Rhinolophus ferrumequinum: one gene and its partners. The main gene of each other region encodes a partner of the protein of the gene in region 2 in a complex. Links are inferred from orthologs where the notes say so. Each region holds a gene or a part of one and is shown on either strand. Other genes may lie near its edges. The genes, in order: CETN3, NUP205, NUP85 and NUP98.

Region 1 (6,921 bases), on a different chromosome or scaffold from region 2:
GATGAATCTAATGGTAGTGTACAAGATGAACTAGAAATGGAGAAACCATTTAGGAAGCTCCAGGTATGAAATAAGATCCCAAACCAAGATAAAAACAGTGGCAACAAATGAAAGAGACATTATAAAAGAAAAACTTAAAAAAGCTGGAAAAAGAGCTAAAGAGCTACAAAAAAGGTTTTTCACTGTGCTGAGTGTCAGATCCATACTACCCAAACACTAATTTCCCGTTATCTTTATAAGTAATTCTAAGCCTTAAAGGAGACATTTTTCCCCATTTATCATTGGGTCAACATCACACATCATGTATGTTGTTTGCACCAGAGAAGGTAGGTTGAAACTGTTACGAAAATGTTCAAATTAAAAGATAAATAACACTCCCCCAACTGGAAAAAAGAACGTCTCAAAAAAAAAAGTGGGGAGAAGAATACAGTAAAAACGGCTTACATCCTGTAGTTTGAAAAAATTCAATTATGCAAATAAAAAAATAAGCCCCTCCATAGCAATATATTTTTCACATTTAAAATGCTATTCATTTTACCATGAAAAGGAGTTTATTTTAGAATATGTTAGAGTACTATTCAATTTTATTATAGCACTTAACTGTGAATGTTTAAAAGGGTTTCAAATTTCCAAAACAGTTTAGTTAAAATACTTATTTAGAAATGTATTTTTAACCAACTGTCAAAAATGCAAAGCATTTTTACAGAAAAAAATATACTACATTTTAAAGTATACTACTACCTTTAATTCATGATAATCTATTGCTTCATCTTTGTCGGTGTCAAATAGTTCAAAAGCATCTTTGATTTCTTGTTTCTGTTCTTCAGAGAGTTCTCTTCTTTTTTTCCTCTTTGTTTTGTCTACTACAAGTTCATTTCTATGAAATGAAAAGAATAAAGTTTAGTCCACTTAAATCCTATTTAGTGCACTTTATTTAGTCTATTTAAATCCTATTCTCCTAATGCCTGTAGATGATTAAGATTTCAAAAATGCAACCAAAAAATTTAACCAGTGAATAATTTTCTAAATTTCTTAAAAGATGTATCTGGAGACTGATAAAGTATCCTTACATGAGTCAAAGCCTTGATCATTGCATAGTTTGAGCTGCTATAAACTTGCACTTCCCCAAACTTATTAAAAAAAATTTTAATAATGCTACAGCTTATTAAAAAATAAAAAATGAGGACCTAACTTTCCTTCTTCCTAGCTTTGTATTTATTCCCACAAATGTTACTGTGGACAAAGCAAGAACTGTGAATAAGAAACATTCCTTTATGTCAGAAACCCCAACAAAAAAACAAATTTATTATAAAAAACATACTTATTATTCAAATCATTCTACAACATAAAGTGTTTTTTAAAAAAGAAAGTAAAATTTATAATTGACAATCACGATATACTTGGTTTACTTTTGATAGTGCTTATAATTGTTATCAAAATTACTATCAAAAAACGTGTAATTTATCAATTAACTTAAAAAGTCTTTTGGCATTGTAGGTTAGAAATGTTTTTAGATTACTCATTTCTAAGTTTGGCGCTTTATAATTTCTTCCACCGACATTAACAAATAAGTCAAAATATTGAGTCTAAAGATATCACTACTATTAAACTCCAAAAGTTACATAAAATTTGTGCTAATTCTACATAATAATATGAAGAGTCAATGGTCAAGTCTCACTTAACATGTAAATGTAGATTTAATTTCTCATAAACTCTGGAAAAAACTTTTAAAAGGAAATTTAAAAGCCAGAAATGTCTTCCTTAAGAGATGCCAATCAACCTAAGCGTTCTAAGTTTTCAAATGGGGCTGCAACACTTGTAGCAGTTTTAAAACAGAAAATTCTATAAAACTTTAAAATGTAAAACCCAGTTGATTTTATTAGAACACGTGATCTATTCGCATTTGAAGGTGTTCTCTGAAATCTATAAAAAGAAAAACAAAGGCAAGAGATGACTAGAAGAGGTAGGATAAAGCTGAAGATCTTTCACAAGAGCCCAGACTTCACACCAGCTTGAACATTACTGGAGTAATTTTCTTCCCACGATTCAAAGCTGCCAAGTCCACAATCGACAGACAACTGACCCCATCCAAAGATATACCACCATTATCCCATAGCAGAACACAACACCTTTTTAAGAGTGGTGTAACTATATAATTATTTTTAAGGTAAAACATCTCCAGATGTTGCCAAAAAAGGTATACACATTTTAAGAAAGGAAAAAAACTGTATTAAAATTGTAATACTCAATATATACCAATAACTGAACATAAATACAAGTCATGTGTATACATTTTTTGGCTCCCCAGTAGATGAGGCTAGGGGAGGGGGCAACCAACAGAGGATTACAAGGTGGAACTGAATGAAAGGTAAAGAAACTCAAGAAATGTAGGTAATTGGGGTCTCCAAATAACCGTAGATCAGGGCCCCAGGAGAAGAGCAAGAAGGAGTTTTGTTATTTCCAAAATATACATTATGTCAGGAGCAGTGCAGCTGAGGTGGGGGCCGTATACCAAGGAGGAACTGAAGGAAGAGATGCTCCAGGGCCTGATTTCTCGCAGAAACGCTAAAAACCTCGCGATATTTCCCTGCCTCCTTGGAACTAAAACAGCTGCCATCTCTTAGGCGGTCCAAAAGCCAAGGCGCTAACAGGTATGACCACGTCGGCAGAAATGCACTGGACTCATCACCTGCAGCACACCTGGGCTCGGAGGCTGAGGAGTCCGGGCCCGGGAAGGTTGGCCGAGGCTCCTTTCCCTCTTCCCAAATTGCAACCCCTTCCTCGCCTCGGCCCCAAACTGTTTCCCTTCCACACACACCCGCCCTGGGGCCCGCTGCGGGCTGTGGAGTGCATTCCCGCCTCCTCATTACCGACCTCAGAGCTAAACTCATTTTCTCTTCGGACAGAGACGTTCCTCTCAAGAACGACTTTAACCTCCTACCCAAAGAAGCACGACTTCCACAAGCTGTTCAACACACACCAACGACCTCAGCGGCCTTGAGGACCTCCCACAAGGTAGACACTTCCGAGCCGGATTGGTTGAAATTGCTAATGCCATGCCCATTGAGGTGGAGGCATCACTAGTCCTCTGCTCTCATTGGGCACATTCCGCGTCAATCAAATAAATCTCTCCGCGGGCCTCTCCAGCTGTTTCTTTCGCGCTTTAGATTGGCCCGTTGCGTTTTCCCCGAATCCTTTGCGGAGCGAGGATTTGAGTCCCTGCGTGGTGGTCCCGGGGATGGGTGGGTGGCCCTCACCTCGCGGGAGGTGGCCTTGGACTGTGGGCGATTGTCCGGAGACAAGACGGACAGCGACGAGGGAAGGAAAGGGTGGGAAGAGAAGAGACACGCTGCAGGCTGTCCTCTGGGAAGAGGTCTGCGAAAGTTAGTTCTTCTGTATTCCATAAACTTGGAAGGCCTAAGTACAGGAGTTTGTTTAAAACGCAAATTTAAATGCCCCTTACCCCCATTCTGATGCCAATGATTGTGAATCAGCTTTTTTTTTTTCCCCCTCTCTCCTTACAAACTATCCTAGTGATTCTGAGGCAGGTTCTATGGATTATATATATGTGAATAATCACTGTGTTGGATTATTAACCTGTTTACGGTGAAGCTGTATCTAAACACCCTTTTGCCCCCCTTCCTCCTTTGGACGGATTTGTTCACTTTTGCCCTTTATTTCCAGTGCTGTAAGCTGCTTGTACACGTTATCTCCCCTACCACACCAAGTCTCTCGAAGTTCACTTGGTATTTAATATGTTTAGTTGTTCATCTCTTATGCTGAATTTCTTGAAGGCCAGGATTATATCTTTCATTTAATGCTCTTCCCAGTGCCTAACAATGGGGCATACGTAGGTGCTCAATAAATACTTGCTCATTGAGTGGAGTCTTGCTGTGAAAACTCACAAAGTGCTGAACTAAATTACAAATCTCAAAGGAATAAAGAGCCTGAGGGTGAAGATCTAGCGGGGTGGGCGGTGGGAAAATATATAAACACCATGGTGTGCGTATAAAGTGATATGTATAAAGGTTTAGAGAAGGGAGAGAACAGGCAGGGTAGAAGAAAGACTTCTTGCAGATTACATATATATTAGGCCTAGGAAGATGAGCTAAATTGGAACAAGTAAAGATAGTATGATCGAATAAAGCTGAAAATAACTAAAGCATTTCCCTTCCTCCCCCCAAAAAAACAAAAGCAGAAAACTTTACATTTTAAAGTACCTTTATAAATCACCTTTGAGTTTAAAAGGAAAGTAAAATTGCAATTACAGATGATTCTCAACTTTTGATTGGGTTACATCCAGGTAAACCCATGGTAAATTGAAAGTATCGTTAAGTTGAAAATGCATTTAATACATGTAACCTACCGAACATCATAGCTTAGTCTGCTGTACATTAACTGTGCTCAGAACATGATATCCAAAAAAACACTGACAATGAAGTTCACTGTAGAGTATTAGTTGTTTACCCTCGTGATTCCCTGTCTGACTGGGAGCTGCAGAATTCTGCCAGTGTCCAGCCTCCTGACAGTATCATACTGCTTATAGGTTACCCTGGAAAAGGTCAAAATTTGAAGTATGGTTTCTACGGGATGCACATCACTTTTCACATCATCATAAAGTTTGAATATCCTGAATTGAAACATCTTAGTCATGGACCATCTCTACACACTAGAAGTTAATGACAATGAAAAAACTACATAGTAAAATTGTAAGGCATAGACCAAGCTGTAGAAGAAAATTATTAAATAAGAAAAATTGAAAATAAACCAGGTATTTATTTGAAGTAGTTAGAAGTGAAGAACAAAATCAACTACTTGAAATGAGAAGAAATTACTAAAGATAATGACAAACGAATTAGAACACAAATTTTAAAAAGACAATTGTTAATAAATGTGTAGGGTATTCTCATAACATGGTTCTTGGCAATACCAATAAAATTGACATTTATGGAAGTGTAACAATCAAGGGAATACTGCCATTAATAAGGTTGGTAGTTTAAAAGAGGTTTCAAAATTATTGAAATATTGCCAATAAATATTAATATCAAAATGAAAGTCACTTTTCAAGGAAAACAAAGATAAGGACTCAAAAAAAAAAAAAAAGACCAGAAAACTAAATTAAGTCAATAACTATAGATAAGACTGAAAAAATGATGCCAAAGTTCTGTACCACAAAATAAAAAGGCATCCATTGAACCCAGTCAGATTTATGGATAAGTTTTAAAAATCCTTGAAAAGCTGATTATTGTGCTTTAAACTCAAAGCATGATAGAAAGCATCTTAGCTTAATTTTTGAAGGTAGCATAACACTTAGCATCCTAAAAAGCATTTAAAATTACTGAATGTATGCTCCATGTTGAGAATGTGGGCATGTTGCCCACCATTGTATGTGCCTCGCTCATGTTTGATGTTAATTAGTGAACATATGTGTAAAAAATTCTAGATGTTGGCAAAAATCAATTTGGTATTGCCTTAAAGGAACTATAACCAAATAGGATGTATTTTTAAAATGCAAAGATAATTCAAAATAGAAGTCTATATTAATTAATCATAACTGTAGTTTAAGGAGATCATCTCAATGTCCTAAAAGGCACTAGAAATATTCAACATCTATTCCTAATAAAATGTATATTAATAAACCAGGTGTAGAAGGTACTTTGTTAAATTGAACAATATACTTAATAAAATGGTAGTGTTTCTCAGTTTTGATCCATGAAATACTAGAATTTTGTGAGATATAGTCATTTCATGAAGAATGGGTTTCATAAGAAAATAATTTAGGGAAACTGATTTTTAAATGTTAAACTAAAATGTTTTCAACAGGATTTCCTATTAGGGGAATGACTAAGAAGTGAACATGCATCACTTCTGCTCATATTTTATTAGTGAGATTTAGTGACCACTCCTTGCTATAAGGGAGACTGGGGAAAAAATTCTCTAGCTGTAAAACCATGTGCCCTGCTAAAATTTGTGGTCAGATCATCAATAACTAAAAATAAGATAGGATTAGCAGCTCTGCCACAGGCACTATTAAAGCAGTTATCAACACTATCTTTGAACTTCTAATCGATGATGTAATAAAACAAGAAAAAGATATGATATATAAAATTATGTGTGGGTGATATGATTACCTGGAAAAATCCAAGAGTATCAAACTATTGGAATTGATAAAAGAATTCAATAAAGTAGCTGTTTTCAGAAAAATTTGCAAAATCAGTGAGCATTTACATCATAAAATAATAGCAATATGAAATTCCTACATATAAATTTAACAGGAAATTTGTAGGATCAGTAGGTAGAAAAATCACAAAATTTTATTAGGTTGGTGCAAAAGTAATTGTGTTTTTTGCATTTATTATTAACCTTTTATACCACAATTACTTTTGCACCAACCTAATACTAAAGTACATGAGCTTTTAATAAATTAACCAAGAAGGTCCTAGTTAGGAAGATTTGATATTGTAAAAATGTTGATTATATCCTAGATTAATCTGTACATTTAATATAATTGAAATTAAAATTCTCACATTTTCTCTTAACAAATTTGTGTCTCCCCAAAATTCATATGTTGAATTTTGAACCTCCAATGTGACTGTATTTGGAGATAGGACTTTTAAAGAGGTAATTAAGTTTCATGAGGTCATAACCCAACAGAACTTATGTACTTAAAATAAGAGGTAGAAACACTAAGGAATGTGCGCACACAGAGTAAAAAGGCCATGTGAGGACACAGCAAGAAGGCAGCCATCTGCAAGACAAGGAGGGAGGCCTCCAGAGAAACTAACTCTGCTGGCACCTTGATCTTCAACTTCCAGCTTCCAGAACTGTAAATAAGTTTCTGTTGTTTAAGTCACCCAATCTGTGGTATTTTGTCATGGTAGTCCTAGAAGACTAATGCAATAAGAAAATATTAACAGATCC
Region 2 (7,622 bases):
GGAAGGTGAGTGGAAAGAAGAGGAGCAAGCAAGAGACGCATATACAACAGGGAGAAGGGCAGAAAGGGTAGGATTTACCTTAAATAGGAAGACACAGACAGGGAAACTGATTCAAAGGGTGCAGATGTATGTAGGCTTGTAGGTTTGAAGGGGGAAAAAGAAGAGTTCAGGCCTGTTGGCTTCTATTTGCTCTGTGACTAGGAGACCGAGGGGTGGGTTGGAAGTTAAAAATTTGAGGAGTGTGAAAAGGTCTCAAATAGTCACTGTTGTGAACAGAACAGGGTCCACAGACTGCCACAGAAAGACTGTCAAGTAGTGTTAATAGTTGTGTACTGACAACAAGCTATACGTCTACTTAGCCGGGATGATACAAGTCACAACACTAGAAAATCATGCAGCAAAAACTCAAGGTCTTAAGCATAGGTCTTAGAATTCTTCAACCTCTGTATTTTTCCCCTTCTATTAAGTTGGTGCAAAAGTAACTGCGGTTTAAAAGGTTAAAAATAATTGCAAAAATGGCAATTACTTTTGCGCCAACCTAATACAATTCTTAAGATGTTTGACTTTTTGGAACTGTGGTTAAAAAAAATAAAAAGCCTAACAGAATTTACTGTCTTAAACATTTTTAAGTGTACCGTTCAGTAGTGTTAATGCATTCACATTGCTGTACATCACATCTCCAGAACTTTTTCATCTTACAAAGCTGAAACGATACCCATTGGGCAACAACTCCCCATTTCCACCTTCCCCCAGCCACTGGCAACCAACATTGTTTCTATGAGTTTGACTACTTTAGATGCTTCATAGAAGTGGAATCATACAGGATTTGTCTGTGACTGGCTTGCTTAGCAGAATGTCCTCAAGGTTCACCCATGTTGTAGCATGAGACAGGGTTTCCTTTTTAAAGCTAATAATATTCCATTGTATGTATACACCACACTGATTATCCACTCATCCATCTTTGGGTTGCTTCCCTAAGATGTTTAATTTTTAAATACATATTTTACTGACTCTTGGTTTTTAAAAATGTTTCCTTTCTATGTTGCCAATTAAACACTCCTGCCACAAGGCCTGATACAATGTATACTCTCTGTGGCTGTTGACAACTCCTTTTTCTTTCAATTATTTATGTTTAATGGCATGAGTAGGTACTAAAGAAATGTATATAACCACACGTATAACACGCAAGCCTTACTTTTAAGTTTGCATCAGGGTGGGAGAGTGGGGCAGCAATACCGTGTTTCCCCGAAAATAAGATCTAGCCAGACCATCAGCTCTAATGCGTCTTTTGGAGCAAAAATTAATATAAGACCCGATCTTATTTCACTATAAAACCGGGTCTTATCTAACATAATATAAGACCGGGTTTTATCTAACATAATTACATTAATTTTTGCTCCAAAAGACCCATTAAAGCTGATAGTCCGGCTAGATCTTATTTTCATGGAAACATGGTATTAAGGAAGTAACTTCATTAATAACATTCAGATATATGAAAAATTGATGTAACAAAATGAATTAGGTTGTGTTTGAGTAGTAGCATATAGTAGCTTAAGTATCAAAAATTAGCTTAGAAGCATTAGCTGTATAACCTTAGGGAAATTACTTAGCCACTCTAAGCCTCTACTTCCAAATTTGTAAAATGGGGTATTTAATAGCAGCTACCCCATAGGAGTACAAAGAGGTCTAAAGGAGATGAAAATACAACTGAGTTCAGTGCCTGGGAAACAGCAGGTGCTCGATAAACATCACCATTATTATAAAACTTAGATTTAGACAACTTTTCAAGAATATCAGTCCTGTGGAAAGAGCCAACACCAAAAACAAAAAAACAAACAAACCAACAAAAATGACTGCATGGAGGCAGAAAAAGAAAAGGCACGCAAGAAAGAGTCCTCTTGAGTGAGATTCTCTACAAGCATTTACCACACAGATAGGCTCTTAATTGTGCCCAGGAAGCTAAATACGTCTCAATGCAGGAACTGACCTGCTGAGCAAGCAATTCGTTTTCAAGCATCCTTGCCCCGCCCACTAGGCGCCAACAGTTCATCCCAGGAATTGTGACAATCAAAATGCACCCGTTTGCAAAAGTCCCATGGGGCAGGGGGATGGTACCGCCCCGGGTCGAGAATCCCCAGAAGAGAACCCACCCCAAATGTTTCAGAGTTCCTTTACTACCTTCTAGATTCTACCCCGCCCCGAAGATCTGCCGCTCCAAAGGTCTAGCAGCATCCAGGGAACTGGGAGTCATTTGCTGAGCCCGTGACACATCTTCATGGCCACCTTCCGGGTTGCAGGCTTCATAATCCTGCTTCCTGCAGGACCCCCCCAATCTCCAGGAAGGGTCCCAGTGCCTAGTTTGGGGTGCGTGTTGTCAGCCTGCGCTCGTGGCTGAAACATCTCAGGTCCTCCGGCCTCACTGCCCGAGACTCGCGAATCCTGGAGAGATCCTGGCCGTAGACACAACGGGGGGTGCGGAGTGGGCAGGCCCACGCGCGGCCCTGGGCTGGCAGAGACTGCACGCCCGATTGCAGTGGACCAAGCCTCCGTGCCTCGCGACCCTCACACCCCAGTTCGAGGGCTAGAGCCGCAGCGCCGACGCGCGCCATTCAAACCGGGGAGGGGAGGGACGCTAGGCCCAGACCTAGTGAGAAGCGGGCACTTGCGCAACTGGGGGCCTGGACTCCAAGGAACCTCACGGCCCAGGTGTCTCCCTGAAGAACCGATCACTGCCCTGCCCCCGTTTCCTTTCTGCCTCGCCACACTTACCCGAATTTACCGCCAACAGCGTCGCCATGTTGGAGGCGCACTAACGGAGCCCTCCGCCGCACAGAAGCCCCAGAAAAGGGTGAGGCTGCCCGTGGCGCCACCTGAACAGAAAGATACCACGCTGCCCACTCCGAATTGCACCTCGACCGGCTCAGGCGTACAACTATTGAAAAATCTGCTCTGGGTCACATACGTCAATTTTCGCCGGGATTATTCCCATTCAAATAAAGCGAGGGCAACCAGTTGGGAAATGCGAGGTCCTTGATTTGACGTTACTCGTGCAGTGCATCCTGGGATTTGTAGTTTCTAATGATGAAGAAAGTTGGTTAGGGGAAACAAAAAGATGTTCTGAGACTAGTTATTGAAATGACGCCCATTTATGATATTATAAAAGCCACAAATTCAAATCATTATCTCTATTTCGAATTAAATATTCCTGGCATTACTCCCTTACTTTGGAGAGTGGGGGGGTAAGGTGCCTTACAGGGTGAAACAAATCAAAATGAAACAAATCATAATTTTTATTATGAAATTTTCAACTGTGCCCAAAATTAGAACAGTGAACGCCCAGCTTCAATAGCAGGACCCAATCCTATATCCCAGCCCCAACATGGGAGCTTATTTTGAAGCAATTTACAGACATATCATTTCATAAACACCAAATATTTTTCTACCTAACCACTCCCATATAACTGTACTTTCCTTTTTCACTTGCTAAATTTTAGTTTGCTAATTTTCAAACTAAAATATGGTCATTACCACTTGCTATCACATGCCAGATATTTATTGAGAATTTTACATTATCTTATAATAATACATAGTAATAGTCCTATTATATGTAATATTTTATACATTATTTTATATTTTGTATCTTACATATTTTATATATTTTTTGTATTATTATTATTAGTTCATTATCTCACTTAATCCCTGAAATAATCCTATTAGGAAGATGATTAATTATAGCTACTTAGCTCAGATTTCCATGTGCCTTACTCCTCCAACATTCCACTAAGGTTGGGAGAAAACAGTTTATATTCCCATTTTACTGTTGGAAATCAGAATTAAGTAATTTAGACAAAATCAGAGAATATGTTATTAAGAATATCAGGTATATTCATTCTTTTGAACAGATAATATTAAGTGACATTTTGGTACACAAAAGTCATTGATGAGTTTTTGAAAGTCATTGTTATGTAGAGACAAATGCCAGACTACAACGGAAATAGTTTTAAGGAGTGAAGGTGAGAGAAAGTGAAAAGGCAAAGAGATTTTTCCTGAAGTTTAGCGTGAAAGTGAGAAGACTACTGAGGAGAAACTTGGCAGGAAGTGGCATTCAAAGATTTTCTTTCTCAGCACAACTATTACAAGCCTTCCCCTCCACATATTTTTAAGCCCACACACGTCCCTCTTCGTAGCTCACTTCGCTTTCTATGAAGGAACTCTTTAAGTTTCTACAACAACAAAAAAGTTCCTACAACACTCTCACCCATCATCACACTTACAAGCATTCTCTCCCTTGACATGTGGAGTATCACAACTTCTGGTTTTCCTTCCATCTTTCTAGTTCTTCTTTTTAAGTTTCCTACAGGAACTTCTCTTTCTCTTTTCACCATTAAATGTAGCTCTTCCCTTTCAGTCATCCCCAGCCTATATTCTTTTTATTCTATGGAAATCCACTTATTTACTGATGAATTCTGTATTTGTATCTGGCCCTGTCCTCTTTGCTGGGTTTGATTTGTATATCCAACTTGTCTACCCCACATCTCTACTGATTGTCACATAACCATCTCGAAAACAATCAATTAATCCAAAACTTTAAGAGCACTTTTCTCTTAGAACCCTACCACCTATATCTACTTGGTTGCTAAAGACAGAAACCTGGGAGTCATTCTATATTCTTTCTTCAATTGCCAAATCCTATTCATTCTACCTCATAAATATTTCTGGGACACTTTTTCTCTTCTCCGCTGCCCAGGCCACTGTTTTCATCGGGTCTCATCTTCTTTTACTTGATATCTTGCAATTGTATTCTCACTGGTCTGACTGACTTCCATCTCATCTCCCTCTCATGGATTCCCAAAGTGATGGTCAAATACACAAATCACATCATGTGCCTGCCCTGATCAAATTTCTCAATGACCTATTACCTAAGGGTAATATCTGAAACTTCTTAGCAAGACACTCATGCTACTTTCTGATGAGATTCAGCCTCTTTCAACCACCTCACCTCACTCTTTCTCAAGTGCCCTTTACCCTGACCATTCTGAATATTATTTTTATTTCCCCAAGTACAGCATGCTTTCTGGTATGGTGTATTGATGCCTTTGAACCTGCCGTTCTATTTGCCTGGAATGCACTTCCTTCCCTTCCCCAATCCTCTGTTGACCACCCGCCAAGTTAACCTCCCAAACACAATGATGGTCTTCCAAGTCTCAGGGCCTGTGTTAATGCTGCTTCCCTGATGCTATCTTTGATTCCCCACAACCAATTTCCCTACATCCCTATTGCACTCTGTTATAGCCCTATGTGCTCTAATGATCGTCTTCCCACTAAAACTGTTAGCATCTTATGGAAGATTGTCATTAAAAGGCCCCCAAGGAATTACATGTCCTTGAATTCAAGCCCTGCTGTAATCGCCTGCCACATTTGAATCTGGGTGGGCCTTATGACTTGCTTGAACCAAAAAAAAAAAAAAAAAAAAATGCAAGTTACACTGGGCAAGTTCTGAGCCTAGAATTTAAGAGGGCTGGCTGTGTCCACTTTTGCTGTTTTGCTGCCCTGAGACACCACGTAGCGAAATCCTACACATAGTGCTATATATGTGTTTGCTAAATAACAAAAATGATTTCGAAGGCAAAATAAGTGCTAACTGGGGGTACAGTACTCCCCCCCTTATTCACAGGATCCCCAGTGGATGCCTGAAACCGCAGATAGTCCTGACCCCTATATGTACTGTTTTTTCCTATATATACGATACCTATGATAAAGTTTAATTTATAAGTGAGGCACAGTAAGGATTAACTTACTTATAACTCATAATAAAATAGGACAATCATAACAATATACTGTAATAAAAGTTATGTGAATGTGGTCTCTCTCTCTCATACCTGATCTGATAACCAAGACAGCTATTAAGTGACTAATGGGCCAAGATATGCTGACAAAGGTTTTATTCAACTCCTGGGCGGGAAGGAGCAGGACAGATTAAGATTTCATCATGCTACTCAGAACGGCTGTTTAAAACTTATAAATTGTTTCTTTCTGGAATTTTCCATTTCATATTTGTAGACCGTGGTTGACCACAGGTAACAGAAACTTCAGAAAGCAAAACCACAGGTAAGGGGGGGACTACTGTACTTACATAAACATTCAGCCCCTCCAGCTCCCCGAGCCTTTTACCAGGGAAGCCCCCCTTCTTCATGGAGTATGTCCCTCTGGCTATGCTAGTTACATCTTCCTTCCTTCTAAATCTTTGTTGGCACTAGCTTCTCATTCTAGAATACCTTTAGTCCTTTCATCTGGTTACTCTTCTCAGGCATGACCTTCCCCTACCCGACCCCCTTACTTTGGTCTGGATTAAATGCTATGCTCTCCCATAATGCATTATAATTTCCCACCACTTTTTCCCTCTGGGCTGAACGCTCCACATAGAAAAGTAGAGGTACCCAAAGGTAGCCAGTAAACGTTTGTTGAATGAATAAGGCTGAGGAAAGGTCAAGCTCCTGTCTCCTACCCATTGCCAGACTATATTGTGGGCTCCTGGAAGACGGTTTCACAAACCATCTCTCTTGCAAGTACCTGAAAACTCTAGAAGCAGCAGCCTGGATTTCTCTTTTTCTGATGGACCTAAAGAGGATATGATACTCCATGTTTCCTCTTATAAAAACACCAGGGCTCCAGCTAAGGAATTAGCTGGTTGAACTGCCTTGAGAGGTTGAAAACCATGTGGGAACTTTGGTCCTGACAGAGGTATGTGCCACAATGGTGCAAGACATAAAGCAGGGAAATGAATGTAAAAGTACGGGTGGCTAAGTCAATTTATCTGATCCAAAAAAGTCTGGATAGTACTCTGGGAATTAGTATGAATACTTGGCTCGGTCTTGGGCGGGGAGAGTGTGAAGGAGAGTGAGGAGTTCTGAGGGAAGCAGAATTCTGTGTGTGACGAAGGAGTAGTGCATTCATCCCATCAGAAGAATACTCAAAGCGAAACTGTGGACGAGGAACAAGAAAGCATTGAAATAAACTGCACTGTTCAGGGCATGATGTCAACTCAGAAACAAAGGACAATAGGAAATACTCCCAAGTGTAAACAATGCAAAAATTAATACATAAATTAGAAAAAGAAGAGTTTAAGAAAGGTTCCAGATTAACATGAAGCTGTCCTGTGTGCCATTTCTCTGCTTCAATTGGGCTTACGGTCATTCTTCAGTGAAGGTTATTTTGTATCTTCTCTTTGCACATTATTGAAGCATCGAGATTTCAGGAAGAAAGTGAAAATAAGGTACAATATGCTGCTGGTGTTGAGGAGAGATTTTTATTAAGACTTGCCGTGAATCTAAGTTTCTACTTTGCTAGTGACTTACTGTGTGATAATGAGAAAGTTATTCAGCCTCTCCAAGCCTGAGTGTCCTCATTTATTAACACAGAAATAATAATACTTTCCTTGGGTTGCTGCAAAGATTTGGTGAAATAACATGAATTTAACATAAAACACTTAGAAGGTATTCTGCTGCAATAACAGGATGATCAGACTGAAGAACAATGAGAGTAAAGTATGGGGATAAAAGAAAGGAAAAATGAGCTATGAATAAGTGCCTGATAAAGACGAATTAATATACTAATCATAGTAT
Region 3 (6,844 bases), on a different chromosome or scaffold from region 2:
ACAACGAATTTGGCTGGCAATAGTCTCGTCAATAGTCTTGTCTCAAGACAAGTTAAGTGCATTCAGTTCTTAGGAAAGGCTAACGCGGTCATTCAACAACTAAGCAATGTGTATTAAGCCTTTTTCTGTGCTGGGCTCTAGGAATACAACAATGTGTACCACAGTCTGTGTCCTCCAAAAGCTAGTGGTCTCCTGACGGAGACCAATAAACAAACAGGCAGTCAGAAAAGGGGAAGTATGCTAAGTCTGAGGTACACACAGAACAGAATCTGTTTTAGCAGACTCGTATTGGATGAGTAGGGCGGGCAAGGAGGAAGCATTATTTGTACATAATGGTGCTGGAACAAATGGGTATCCATATGCAAAAATGAACCTCACACCATAGACAAAAATTCACTAAAAATTAGTCACAGACTCAAATGTAGAGCAAAATCTATAAAACTTGAAAAACATAGTAGAAAATCTTTCTGACCTGAAAGTAAGCAAAGATGTATATAGGACACAAAAAGCATAAGCTATAGCATAAGAAAAATGTATAAACTGCACTTCAACAAAATTAAAATTTTTGCTCTTCATAAGATACTGTTAAGAAAATGAAAAGGCAAGCCGTAGACTGGGAGAAAATATGTGCAAAACACGTATTTGATATCCAGAATATATAAAGAATTCTTACATTTCATTAGTGAAACAACCCAGTAACAAAATGGGCAAAAGATTTTTAACACACACTTCACCAAAGAAGATATACAAATGACATATAAGCCCGTGAAAAGATACTCATTAGGGAAATACAAATGAAAATAACGAGCTACCACTAAATACCCACTGGAATGGAAATGAAAATTAAAAAGACTGATCATACAAAGAATTGATGAGGATGAGAAACAACTGGAACTCTCAGACTTTGCTGCTGCAAAAAGAACTGTACAACCACTTTGGAAAACTGAGCTTATTTTAGCTAAATATGCATCTGTCCTATAACCCAGCAATTCTCCTTTTAGGTATGTATCTGGAATTAAACAAAACAAAAAAGACAATGAAAACTGTAACTTACACTTTTTAAGAGCTCTTGAACCAAAAGGAAAAGAAGACCAGTGGTCTAGAAAAACTACTCAAGATTATTCTACCTACTTTGAATCTACATTTAAATATCCTCGAATCTGCCAGTTACTAACTGGACTTCAGGTGCCTTGACAATAGGGAGCAGTTGTGTGAAAAGCGGATACAACTGCCATAAAGGGTGACTTAATGGTATTCACAATTATTCATCAGTCTCTTGAGAATGTGTTTAGAGTAAACCCCAAAGGCAGATGAACACTCAAAAACAGACATGACAGCGTTTAAACTCGCAGAGGTGAGCTTCAGACTCTGGACTACAATGCCCCTCCTGTGTGTGCCCATGAGGCCAACCAGTTTTCTACCTGGTCTCCCCAGCACGAATATAGAGCTGGGGTTATCACAAGTCCATCATCACTACTGGGTATAAAAATAAGTAAGCTGAGATCATCTTCATTCCATCTGTAATGAAGCTCTTTATCAAGGCACAGTATCAAAGCAGTGGCTCTCCAGGGCACCACAGGGTACTAGGAAGGCTCCCCCGACCCAAGGAGTCTAACACAAGTGAGAGAGGGAAAGTTTGAAAAAGTTCCAGTGACTCTGATGTTCTAATTTGTCTTCCCACAAACACTGACACAGTCCTTGATGGATAGTTAATATTTAAAGTACTCTGTATAGGTATTAAATTGGAACATTCTACAGCAGTAAGCTTTAAAGAGCATAACAACCCATGTTAATTGCTATTTAAGATCTCATGCCTCCTTTTGTCCAGTCAGCTTTGAAATGACCCCTATTTTCAATTTTTTGTATTGTCGGACACTGCTTTGCAATCTGATGTCTTTGGCTAAAAACTGTAGGCATCTCAACTATCTAGAAAGCAAAAGCACAAGGTATAGCAACTTTCAGTTTAGTGGGGCTTCCAGAGCTAAGACGTGCAGAAGCAGCCCACAATGGGTAGAGGTGTCGGACGTAGTTAGGGAGGTTAGGGAAGGCTTTCCTAAGACACAAGCTGCCGGAGCTTGCATTTAAAAAACGAGCTGGAGATGAGAGAAGAAACGAGCATTCCAGGCAGGGGGAACGGTAGGTATTTTATATCTACAGGCTATGAATTTCTTTTAAAATCCTGGATCTGCAGCAGTTGACATACTGTCTTCAGAGTTCAGATCAAATTGAAAGCAAAATATAAAAAGGAGATAGTCCCCCGAGAGAATAAATTCGTTTAGTAAACCTTAGGCAAGCGCAGCACAAGCAGAAGCCAAGCTCACGGCGCTGCGATGTGAAGCTAAGTTCGGCTGGAAGGAAAAAAGCCCCAATTCTTCTGCCGAGTCCAAGCGCGCTCTTTAGAGCATTAGCCCAACGAGAAAAGCGAGCGGAATAGAAAGGCGCAAAGACGAGGGAGGGAGAGGGACGGAGTGAGGCCTCTGGGGCCAGGTATTCTGAGCATACGAAGCAGCAGAAACCCAGCGACCACTGCGATCCAAACACGGGCAGCTAATTAATGTGACCTCCGGATGGTGGCAACTGAGCTGAGAGAAGGGGGCGGGCGCCTCCCGGGAGGCAGGGAGGTAGACAAGCCTGCAGTGATGAAGCAGACTCAATCCTTGGGCCGCGAGGGCAAACCAGGCTCTTTGGGGCGCCCTTACAGTGACTGTCGGCTCGCCATCGAGCTCCTCCATAGCGCCGCAGCTCAGCTGCCGGGAGGTCGCGAGGCCAGCACAGCTCCCGGCTCGGGCCTCCCGCTCAGAGCCGCTGCAAGAGAGGACCCGACCCGAGCCCCCTCCTGCACTGCCTGCAGGCCCAGATCACCAACGCTGCAGGGGCGTCTCCTCTCGGCCACGGCCACCCCTCTACGGCACTCTACTCGTGTTCTTCCTTCGCGGCCTCGACAACACGTCAGGGAAACCGGCGCCAGGGGCAGCCGATCCTCAGAGGAACCTTCTCGCCAGATCAGGCGCCGCCGGGGACAGCCCCACGCGGGGCGGGGAGAAAGCCCCTGGAGACGGCGGGAGCGGTGGCGGGGCGGCTGCGCGTGCGCGGGCTGGGGTGGCCACTCTGCGTGGAGAGGCGGCGGGGGCCGGGCTCGAGCGAGCGTACCGCCTGTCCCCACTCTGGCTTTCCTTGCGGCTTCTGAGTCTGCAGCTCAGTGTTGTCTCGGCCGCTTCTGTGAGCGGTGTCCAGGGCAAGGGATCCCCGGTCTATCGGGCTTGTGGACGGAGGCAGTCGCTGCCAACTCCCACCCCAAAACGCTCAAGCAGCACGCGGACAAAAGTGATGCAGCCCGACAACTGTGAAATCGGGACAGCTGGGCTTGCTTAACTCAACACAAATACTGGTTTGTTATCTCACCAAAGAAAAGCAGGAAAAGGAAAAAAAACCACAGTCAGAGAATCCCGGTCTTGTTAATGGGAAACTCATTTAAGTTACTAGTGCTCTAGTAACTTAAAGGAGTTATTTATTTTGTAAATGCCATATTTACAAATACGTACACACACACACACACACACAGAAGAGAATAGTGCTGGTTTTACATTCCCAAATAAGCACTTTTTTTTTTTTAACTAACTGAAGATAATTCGAAATTAAAAAATAAGTCTTAGGAAACAGTGCCTGAAAATGTAACAGCTTCTTTTTTTGGGGAAAGATACTTGATCTGAAAATCAAGTTTCAGTTTTTTACCCGGGGAAACAGTTCTTTCCCTGAGATTACTCTGAATGACCTATTTGAATTGGTTGAAATGAGATGACTTGGAGTGGTTAGGAAAATCTCACACCAACAGTTTTTTCTATTTAGGTACAAATTCAGGAAGGAAAATCCTGTGGCTATCACAATTTCATCCAAATCCTTATCTCTTAAGACAGCCATCAATAGGATGACATTTAATGTAGTTTTGCACAAAACTCCACACTTCTACCATCTATAGCTTGGTGCATTTTCCAAATGTTTCACATTTTCACTGATCCAAGTGTTCTGGCACCAATAGTGTGGCTATGAAGTATGAGAAATTATGCATTTATGTCCCTATCCTTAAGAGGTAAAAAGAGGCCTAATATTTTACAAAAGTAAAATAAACAGTAGCAAATAGATCAGTTTAAAAAAACTAGTTATTATATCTGCTCTGGCGACTCAAAATTATTTGAGCAGCAGAAGTTAAAGCAAAGCTTAAGACACTGATAGAAAATATGCCTAATTTCCTTCAGAGAAAATTATTAATTATTCTGGGGAACAGGATGAGTAGAAGGAAAGGAAAAAAATAATAGGATGAAAGACCAAAAAGAAAAACCATCTTCTCTAAAGGAGACCTGAGAAAAAAATAATTTGAACAACAAAGGAGCTTAGAAAATTTTAGTAGTATAGTTTTTTGATATTTTAAGACTGACATAATGTCATTTGAAGATAACAGAAGTATTGAAACTGACCTAGCGATAGATAATATTGGAAAAAAGTATTGAAACTATTCTTTGTTCTAATACCATTATATACAAGCAACCTTACACAATCATTCAAATACATTCATTAATTGGGGAAAAAAAGAAAACTACAGCTAATAGAGTTATTATTCTATACATAGATCATTTTCTTCCTTCTGGTCCTTCTCAATAGTCTTCCAAGAATGGGGTTTCAATGAAGTAGTTTATCCTTTTTTTTTTTTTTTTTTTTTTTTTTAACAGATGAGCCTAAAGGAATACATTTGGGAAAAAAAAAAATAACCAGTACACAAATCTTTTTCTCTTAACCTCTTCACAAGCTCCTTCTCTCCCCCTTTATCCCCCTCCTTTCACTCTCCCTCCTCCTCTCCCTAGAGTGGTTGTTTAACTCTGGAATTCCTGTATCTACTCTGGAGAGTCTTCAATCATGCAGGAGACACTTCAACTTGAGGTATATCAGAACCCTAGGAAGACAGAAAGAGTATAATATTTCTGGAATCAAAAATCTCCTAAAACAAAACATACCTATCGCACAAGAGTCAAACTAGAACTTACTTTAAATCACTCCAAAGTCAAACTTAGAATCATTCTCAGATGAAGCCAGAGGAACTGTGCTAGAGATATGCCATATGTAAAGTGCTAATTGGATGCATTTAATTCATTCTAGTAGAACCAATGCTCCGTAGCCTGCAGAGAAATAAATACATAATCATTTCAAGAGACATAATAAGTTTGGAAAACAAGGTAGAAATCTATTATCAGGAGCCATAGAAATATTTATGCACTTTGATCCAGTAAGTCCTCACTTGAACTTTTATTTCTAATAATTTCAAAACACAAAAGGTATGTGAATTTTGGTAAGTGCTATATAGATAACAACAAAATTTCTCAAATCCCACCCTATTGACGTTTTGGGCCTGATAATTCTATATTGTGAGCTGTCCTGTGCCTTACAGGATGTTTTGCAGAATCCCTGGCCTCTGTCCACTAGATACCATTCATACCTTTTAATGATTGTTGACAACCAAAAATGTCTCTAGATATTCCCAGTATCCCCTAGGGGTAAAATCACCCGTGCTAAGAACTGTCATAGATGTTCATCCATTGAGGAATAGAGGAAGACAATATATCAGTGAGATATTCACCTATTGAGAAGAACTATGAAGACTGATAAGAATATGGGAAAGTCTTTCAAGAAATTTTAAAATGTTCACCTTTTTGTCTCCATAATTGTATTTTTAGGAAATAAGAGGGACATTTTGAATAACCAAAAAACAAAGTCTCACAGCAATCATTAAAATTAATGTGCAATCATTAAAAGATAACTGTAGCAAAATTTTATAAAGGTAAAATGTAGTAAAATTTTGTTAAAAGTTTTATCAATTTTGTAAAAAATAATATGTAGAGAAAAAGATTGGCAGAAATGAGTATTATTACTCTTAAAATCAGAAAAAGTAGGCATGTTTACCACATAATTTTCAGTTTTTAAGAGCAAACGAAAAATTGTATATTTCGACAATTAATGTAAAGAAATTTACGTGTGGATAAAAGTTAGAAAATAAAATTGAGACAGGTGTTATGGGAATATGAAGTAAAAATTTTTATTTAAAAAATGTTTCATTGAAGTTTTTAATACATATAGAGATACTACATAAGACCATGTTTGTGAAAACCTGCTTTATAGTCCTACTAATGTATATCTGGCCACATGAGACTTCAAGTTGAGAAATATGTGACATATTTCTTATTGAAGGTGTAAAAGCTGCTCTAGCCTTGTGGTTTTCAAACTTTAGGGAACTTCATAATTATCTAGAGGGCTTGTTAAACCATTAATTGAGTGATTCCTGGGCTCTGTCCCCAGAGCTTCTAATTCAGTAGGTTGGGGTGGGGCTCAGGTATTTGTCCTCCTGACCTTTCTAAGTGGAAGTGATATTGCCCAAGGGACCATCCTTTAAGAACCATCCTTCCAACTCTATCTTTTCTACCTCAGTGGGGAGTAATCAATCACAAGAACTTGAAGAGTGCAAATATTATCTATATTTGGCACAGCTGCAGAATATAAGCTTAGTTCAGTTTGTTCTCATTCATTCTATGAAACAAACATCCTTGAGTCACTGAGACCTACTTGAATCTAGTAATGGACAGAGAAGTAAGATTGGAGCATTAATGGGGTTAGAAGAACTTGAAATCATCATTCCAATGTAAAGACTACATAACTAACAGGAATTCAGAAACCCTAATTTAGGCATTTTTGGCATTCTCATGATAAGGACTATGTTACTATTGCATCAATAAGTCAGTGAACTCTTATTGATCACCAGCTCTCGGGACTTAGTTATTTGCTGAGATTATGAAGATGAAAA
Region 4 (7,574 bases), on a different chromosome or scaffold from region 2:
GTACTGATGTACAACATGGATGAACCTTGAAAACATTATGCCAAGTGAAATAAATCAGACACAGAGACCGCATATTTATGATTCCATTTATATGAAATGTCCAGACTAGACAAATCCATTGAGACAAAGCAGATTAGTAGTTGCCAGGGGCTGGGGAAGGGGGAGTTGGAGAACGACTGCTAATGGAGCTGGGGTTTCTATTCATGGTTACGAAAATGTTCTGAAATTGGACAGTCGTGATGGTTGCACAACCTTGTGAATATACTAAAATACTAAATATACTAAAAACCTCTGAATTGTACTCTTTAAGTGGGTGAATGTGAATTATATGTGAATTATTATTATACGTGAATTATATCCTCATGTTATGTGAATTATATCTCAATTTAAAAAATCTGACAAAGATCTGGGTTTCAATAAATGGCAATTATTATTATAAATAAATAAATAAAGGAGAGGAGAAATCTGGTCAATATGGCGGAGTAGAATCTTAAAAAAAGAAAACAGTTATTCTCATAAACTAACGCAAGTGAGAAATGTGAGGAGGAAAAATAAATAAAGGAGAGGCAGAAAAATAATTGAAAGGACAGTAGAAAGTATAAAGTGTTAGATAAAATCCTGAATATACCAGTAAATTCATTAACTGCAATGAACTAAATGCTCTAGTTAAAAGTCAAAGGTATTGGGGCTGGCCCGGTGGCTCAGGCGGTTGGAGCTCCATGCTCCTAACTCCGAAGGCTGCCCGTTCGATTCCCACATGGGCCAGAGGGCTCTCAACCACAAGGTTGCCGGTTCCATTTCTCGAGTCCCGCAAGGGATGGTGGGCAGCGCCCCCTGCAACTAAGATTGAACACGGCACCTTGAGCTGAGCTGCCACTGAGCTCCCGGATGGCTCAGTTGGTTGGAGCACGTCCTCTCAACCACAAGGTTGCCGGTTCAACTCCTCCAAGGGATGGTGGGCTGCGCCCAGTGCAACTAGCAATGGCAACCGGACCTGGAGCTGAGCTGCGCCCTCCACAACTAAAATTGAAAGGACAACAAGTTGACTTGGAAAAAAGTCCTGGAAGTAGTACACACTGTTCTTCAATAAAGTCCTGTTCCCTTTCCCCAATTAAAAAAAAAATTTTTTAAAAATCTTAAAAAAAAAGTAATTAAAAAAAAAAGTCAAAGGTATTCACACAAGATTTATAAAAATACATGCTATTTGCAAACATCACCCTTCACTATCAAGTTATAGGAAAAGAGGAAGGAAGTCAACATTTACTGAGTGCTTACTATGTGCCAAACATGTACCCAGTCCAGTCCTTTGCAAATTCCATTATCTTATTTGAACTTTACAACCACCTTATAAAACAGGAATTACTGTGCCCATTTTATAGCAAGAAAACTGGGGCACAGAACAATTAAATAATTTGTGCAAAGTCTAAAAAGTAGCAGATCTGGCAGTTGAACTTAGCTGTATGACTCCAATTCTGCTGCTCTTTCCAATGCACCATGTAAGAAATCTAGAACCATCCCAAGGAAGTGTCTTGCCCTTCCATGATTCTGCAATCTCTAGAGGACTATCTCCTCCCTGAGCTCCAATTCCTCATTGCTGCATAAAGTGAGTTCTCAGGGCATGTATGTGAGAGACTGGGGGTTCCCAGGACAGAACTGGCCATGGCAGAGTTTTGAGCTGTGGACATCTCTGGGCTACTGATGCCAAAACAGGGCTTGGCTCCACAAGCTTTTGTGAACATACACCAAACTCCATGTCTGTAGAAGTTCTTCCCTGGGCAGAAATCCCTGAGAATGATGAGCTTGTGGGCCACATGCCTACAGAGTACCTAACAAGAGTCCTTCACTTCGAAACCACCATGTTCACAGGGAATTCCTCCCTGGAGCATTCCTCATCCAATTCGTCCTCTTCTCCCTCCAGTTTTCCCGCAAGTATTTAAGGGTCCTAGGTCTTGCACACCCACTAGTACTTTGGACTGAATGTCCTCACTCCCTCAAGACATATTTCTGAGCCCCTTTTCTAAGAATCATGTCTTAGACTAATTAGAATTCCTTGACATTTTTAAAGAATATAAATAATATCTACCATTCACTGAGGGATTACTGTGTACCAGGTACCTGATAAGTGCTTTATCACATTTAATTCTCACAATTACCCTGTGGGGAAAGTAGGGTTATCCCCATTTTTACAGACACGGAAACTGAGACTCAGAGGGGTTAAGAAATTTGCCCAAGTTCATACAGCTAATACATGGTTGGGCTCAAATATAAACCCAGGCTTCTCCAACTCAAAAATTTCACACTTCTATTTTTCTACTTAAGAAAATAATTCACTCATTCATGCATCAAACATTTAATGTGCGCCTGTACTGTGTGTTTGGCCTTAAGGACACCAGACTAAATACCGTGTTTCCCCGAAAATAAGACCTAGCCAGACAATCAGCTCTAATGCGTCTTTTGGAACAAAAGTTAATATAAGACCCGGTATTATATTATATTATTATATTATACTATATATTATGCAAGACTGGGCCTTATATTATAGTAAAATAAGACCAGGTCTTATATTAATTTTTGCTCCAAAGGACACATTAGAGTTGATTGTCCGGCTAGGTCTCATTTTCGGGGAAACACAGTAAGTAGGGGAAAGGTTTGGTTGGGTTTGAGGATTGAAAGATGACAAATCAAAGGTTCAGAAGGGCAATGAGGAAGCTATTGTAACTATCCGGGGAGAACTGATGACTTTCTGATGCAGCACATAGGTAAGAGAGGGTGGAGGAAAAAGAGAGATATTTGGGTGGAGGAGTTGGGGGAAGGTGGTTGGAGTCAGATATTCAAACTAGTTTTACTATTCGACACTCCACGTATTTTTTTCCTTCTTCTTTCAAGCATCTACTGAGCACCTACAAGGTACCAGATTTCTCCTATCCATTATCTTATTTCATCTTTATGACCACTCCACTGTTTGACAAATTAATCAATTATCTCCAATCTCTTGCCACCACTGAAAACCCACAGGGATTTAAGGTCACCTACTTTTGGGCAGAGCCCATTTCAATTTTGTATTGATGCCCCAGGAGGAGGCAGGCGGTGGTGGAGAGGTAAATCAAGTAGGCTTTCTGAGCACAGTCGGTGCTATTCTATGTGGGACTCTCAGTCACTAGGCCTAGTTTTTAGAACATGCTCAACCCTCCCCTTTGTAATATCAGGCTTCTGCACCAGGCTTGGCCCAAGGGAAAGGAACACCAATATTAAAGAAAAAAACCATAGGCCCAAGATGGCATCACTGATGCCAAAAGCCCATAATACCAAACCTCGATTTAATAATTGATCTAATTGTATTTTCAACCTCTCCTAGAAACATGACCTTAATCAAACCACTATGAAAATTTCTGGTCAAGCACCAGTGAGGTAACCTGTCACACAGGCCCTCTCCATCCTCCATAGAAAGGAGTAATCTACATAATAAAAACCCTTCCCCTTCTCCTCCCTCAAAGAAAAGATGTCAGAGCCCCAAAATAATCCTTACTTTTGCTAATAGCTCCCTTGCCTCACCCTTCTTCCTATAAAATCCTTCCATTTGTACAACCTCTCAGTTGCCTTTCCAGTTGCTAGATGGGATGCTGCCCAATTAATGAATGGCTTAATAAAGCCAATCAGATCTGCAAATTTACTTGGTTGAATTTTGTTTTTTAACACCAAGATGAAGAAAATGCAGCTCTGACCTCCAAGAGCCGCGGCACAGAAGACAGGAAAGTAATAGGATACAAAGTGACAAGGCTGTAACAGAGGCCTGCCCAAGCATTAACCCAACTTGCTGAGAGAGATTCAGCGAATGTATCCTAGAGAAGGTGGGAGCATTTGAACAGAACTTTAAGAATAACTGGGGATTCCTAAAGGGCAGGTGGGAAAGAAGTTCCAAGAATCCTCATTTGTACCAAGTTTTTTGCTGAACCATCCCCTTAGGGCATCTCTGATGCTCATAACATCTATTCTAGGGATTCCGAGAGGGAAAGGTGCTGGGGCTTGCGTGGGACAGGAGACCAGAAGGCCTGGTTTTAAGGCCTCGGAGCAGCTGCAGGAAAGCTACGCGGGCAGTCAGAGTTCCCAGGGGGGCCCTCTAGCTCTATAAGAGGTCTGGCCAAGAAGTGAGGGAAGGACGACCGGGAAACCTTCCCATCACCGCCCACGGATTGGGGCAAGGTGTGGGTAGAATAGTTACCATGCCATCCTGGAGCCTTTCCTCTGATTGGCTGGAGCTTCAGCAGCGGGTCTCTTCGCTCCAAGGAAGTGGGCGGAGCTTCGATAAGCGTCACCGCTCTTCTCCCACACCCCGCCCAACGTAGCCACTCACCAGCCCACTTCGAGGGGCCCTGTGTTACGTCACGACTCTCTCCCAGCCAACGGCGGCGGTGAGGGCCAGAGCTCCACGTCCCTCCCACCAACCCTCCCCCTTCCTCCCCCTAACTTCTTAGGCCCCTCCTCTTCCTCTTCTCCCCTTCTCTCAAAGACCTCCCTCACGTTGGGTTTCAAAAGAGTCGTTGCCCAATGAGTAACAGGGTGGGCCTAGAGTGGCGGCGGCGTTTGCCAATGCTCAGGCAGCGAGGGCGGAGCGCCCGGAGCGAGCCTCTGACGGCGGGCGGCGTGTGACGCAGTCGGGCCCACTGTGCGCTGCGCCCGAAGCGGCGGTAGGTATCGGCGGTGGCAGCGGCGGCGACGGTTTCGTGGCAGCCGCGCGCTGCTCGCTGAGCGGCGGGTGGTGGACGGGCCTAGGCCCTCACTCTTGACATTTCCCCTCCCCCACCGCACCACGGTAAGTCGGTAGTCGGGGCGGTGGCGGCCAGGGACCGGCAGGCTCCTCCTTTCTTCAGGGCGGGCGGTGCGCCGGGCGTCCCAGGGCCTCTCCGCGCCGAAGTCTCGCGCCCCGGCGGCACCTTCTGCCCTGAGGGAGGGGGCGGGGCCCGCAATCCTGCGGCCGGGAGGCCCGGCTCTTCCGGAACTGGAAGGGAATCGCTCTTGGTGGGGTCTGGGTCCGGGGTGTCTCCGGTCGCAGCCTACGCTGAGGGAGCGTCCATCAATCCAGGCTCATTCATTTGCCCGGCGGTGACTAGGTGGGCCGGTCCTTAGCGGGAACAGCGCTTTAACACCAGGAATATGGTCTCCCTGCACTTCCTTGACTGTTGTGTGGGATGGGCTTTATTTGCCTTGTCCTCTCCTACAGGAGACATTTGCAGCCCCAGGGTTGGGGTGGGTGGGTCGGGAGTTTGTTAGCTTTTTAAAACACCCGAGAATTAAGGTCGGTTTAGTGGAGTAAAAGATTATTTTCTGGCCTCCCACGTGTTCCATGTAAAGCTAGATGAGAAGAAAGATGGGGTTTCTGGATTACTATAATATATAGCCATAAGGATCTTAGAAATTAAGCCCATTTCCCTACTTCATATCACGTACAGGTTTTACAGATGAAGAAACCGAGGCCAGTGAAGGGACAGAATTAGCCAATTCCAGATCTGGCCCAGTCTAAAAATATGTCTACTACATCACTCTCCCTTGGTGTTCCACTTTCCATTATGAGGACTCCCTTCGGTTGTAGGGGTGAGGGACGGGGGCTGTCGGTAGTTAGAAGTAGGTACAGTCTTCAGTAGCGTTTCCGACTTAGTTACCACCAGCTCTGTTTGATTAGTGGTACCCTAAAACTAGACCATGAAAACTAAATTTAAACTTTGGTTAAAGAATGCTAGTAATGTTATGTATTGGAAAAACGAATCGGTAAAACCAGAAGTCATTGGCTAGTTTCCTGTTCCAAACCTAAAATTTTTATTTGTAGCAGCTGCAGGGGACTCAGAAGAAAGTGTCTGGTTAATGACCCACAGCAGTATTGGAGTAGAAAGCAGGAAATATAGCTGAGACTTAGAAAGGCAGACAGTCATTTTGTAGTTCTTGTATCTTGAAACTCATGGCTTCTCTCTGGTACAGAATTTAAAGTTTTGTAGTAGAAGAAGGTAAGAAAAATTAAACTCCGTTTTGGAAGAGGAAACTAACTAGAAGAAAGAAAAGAGAAGTAAGCGGTCCCTGTGACAGCCTTATAAATTCAGAAAGAAATGCTTGTGAATTGGGTGACAGATGCTATGTTTATTTGGTGGAAGAAGTCAGGATATTTAAAACACAAAACCAGAAGTTGGACAGGATGGAGGTACTGGGGAATACTTTGATAAAAGTATTTTTTGACTCTTCATTAAGATTTGATGAAATTGAATTTGTTGCTGCTTTGGTCTGTTTACATCACTCGGATCACCACTTTGCTCTTGTTTAGATGACAAAGCAAAAACTGAAAGATAGTGTGTAAGAGCAGAAGAGAACTGTAGTCTAAATACTAAAATGTGAACAAGGTATATTTTCTGTGACATTTCTCAGTTCAAGCATCACCCTATTCTAGGAAGCCTTTCCTGGCATTTTCTCCCCTGTAAGCTTCCGTAACACTTGTTTGATACTTTTATTTATAGCACAAATCATTTTGTGTTTTAGCTGTTTGTCTTTTTATTAGACTGGTAAAATATTTTTGTCTTTGTATTCAGGTTGACACATAGTAGGACCTCAGTAAGTGTGTTTGCTTGAATGAATAAATAAATACGGAGGAGTTAAACCTAAAAATAGTCTATAAAGAGGTTGGGTATTTGTGTGCTCCTGAAATGTGGGGCCCAGGTTAGAGTTCACATGGTACTTTGGTACCTGACCTTATTCACGTCCACTAGCACCTAGATAGCTAAGAGCAAGTAGAACTTTTAGGGAACCAATTTAACAGCTTAGGAAAAATAAGTTATTTTTATTGTGATATTTTTATGGTGGTAATTAACCTAGGAAGTAAGGGGTAGTAGTGCTGATGTTTAATTTCAAATAAAGAGCACATTTATAGTTATGAAATCTGTTGAAAGGTTGAAGGATTTAGAGATTTAACAATAAGTATTAGAGCCAAGTTATGTAAACATTTCTTGACAATTTGGTGCATTCTTTATGTTTGGAATTGAACCTAAATACAGTAATTCCTCATGTGGCATCGTCGATAGGTTCTTGGACCTGCAGCAAAACATTGTATAACGAAACCAGTTTTACCATAGGCGAATTGATATTAACAAGAGTTCCAATCACATCTCATCAACGTTATAATAAAATGACAATGTTGCGTGAAATGATATTATTGGAGGACTTGCTGTGTTCAACATAGTGTGTCTGTAGAACAAGGTTTCTCGGCCTCGGCGCTTAGCACTTTGGGCCGGATAATTCTTTATTATGAGGGAGCTGTCTTGTGTATTGTAGAATGTTTATTTAGCAGCATTCCTGGCCTCTGCCTATTAGATACCTGTAATACCCCCTCCCCAAGTTGTAACAATCCAGAATGTCTCCAGACATTGTCAGATGCCCCCTGGGTGGCAAACTTGCCCCTGATTGAGACCATTACTCTAGAGAAAACATTCCCAATATTTCCGTAAAATCATATCTTTATGGTGCCTGGTGTATGCTTGTAAAGTCAGCTAATAAGTTGTGTTTCGTTAAAATTGTCCTTGAAAAAACCTTAAATTGTC

What was found.
Region 1: NUP205 (region 2) and CETN3 share a complex: the UniProt entries of both Homo sapiens proteins name them as parts of the nuclear pore complex. The link is inferred for Rhinolophus ferrumequinum from reciprocal best matches to the Homo sapiens genes NUP205 and CETN3.
Region 3: the proteins of NUP205 (region 2) and NUP85 are in contact, whole or in part, in a cryo-EM structure (PDB 7TDZ), measured with the Xenopus laevis proteins. The link is inferred for Rhinolophus ferrumequinum from reciprocal best matches to the Homo sapiens genes NUP205 and NUP85. Residues at the interface, in XP_041443600.1 of Xenopus laevis: Glu1477, Cys1480, Arg1481, Cys1484, Asp1485, Ser1517, Gly1518, Tyr1519, Leu1520, Lys1521, Val1522, Val1524, Asp1525, Ser1574, Gly1575, Gln1582, Gln1638, Gly1641, Gln1642, Gln1645, Val1648, Leu1690, Asp1691, Ile1692, Gly1693, Leu1694, Asn1695, Asp1696, Gly1697, Ser1698; in XP_041431608.1 of Xenopus laevis: Ala86, Glu87, Glu88, Ala89, Ser90, Gly91, Lys92, Ser93, Arg94, Lys95, Pro156, Pro239, Met240, Gly245, Thr246, Gln247, Thr248, Leu249, Thr250, Glu251, Phe252, Glu253, Leu254, Lys255, Trp256, Gln257, His258, Trp259, Pro315.
Region 4: NUP205 (region 2) and NUP98 share a complex: the UniProt entries of both Homo sapiens proteins name them as parts of the nuclear pore complex. The link is inferred for Rhinolophus ferrumequinum from reciprocal best matches to the Homo sapiens genes NUP205 and NUP98.

The regions. Positions count from the first base shown.
Region 1 is NC_046290.1:59,221,842-59,228,762, forward strand, and holds the start of CETN3 (centrin-3), read right to left. Parts: upstream 3,014-6,921; 5' UTR 2,892-3,013; coding exon 2,875-2,891; intron 878-2,874; coding exon 742-877; intron 1-741. UniProt on the Homo sapiens protein: Plays a fundamental role in microtubule-organizing center structure and function. As a component of the TREX-2 complex, involved in the export of mRNAs to the cytoplasm through the nuclear pores.
Region 2 is NC_046309.1:12,424,670-12,432,291, forward strand, and holds the start of NUP205 (nuclear pore complex protein Nup205), read right to left. Parts: upstream 3,016-7,622; 5' UTR 2,798-3,015; coding exon 2,770-2,797; intron 1-2,769. UniProt on the Homo sapiens protein: Plays a role in the nuclear pore complex (NPC) assembly and/or maintenance. May anchor NUP62 and other nucleoporins, but not NUP153 and TPR, to the NPC.
Region 3 is NC_046304.1:50,238,500-50,245,343, reverse strand, and holds the start of NUP85 (nuclear pore complex protein Nup85), read right to left. Parts: upstream 3,005-6,844; 5' UTR 2,733-3,004; coding exon 2,700-2,732; intron 1-2,699. UniProt on the Homo sapiens protein: Essential component of the nuclear pore complex (NPC) that seems to be required for NPC assembly and maintenance. As part of the NPC Nup107-160 subcomplex plays a role in RNA export and in tethering NUP96/Nup98 and NUP153 to the nucleus.
Region 4 is NC_046294.1:47,376,228-47,383,801, forward strand, and holds the start of NUP98 (nuclear pore complex protein Nup98-Nup96), read left to right. Parts: upstream 1-4,554; 5' UTR 4,555-4,685; exon of another isoform or gene 4,686-4,810; intron 4,811-7,574. UniProt on the Homo sapiens protein: Plays a role in the nuclear pore complex (NPC) assembly and/or maintenance. NUP98 and NUP96 are involved in the bidirectional transport across the NPC. May anchor NUP153 and TPR to the NPC.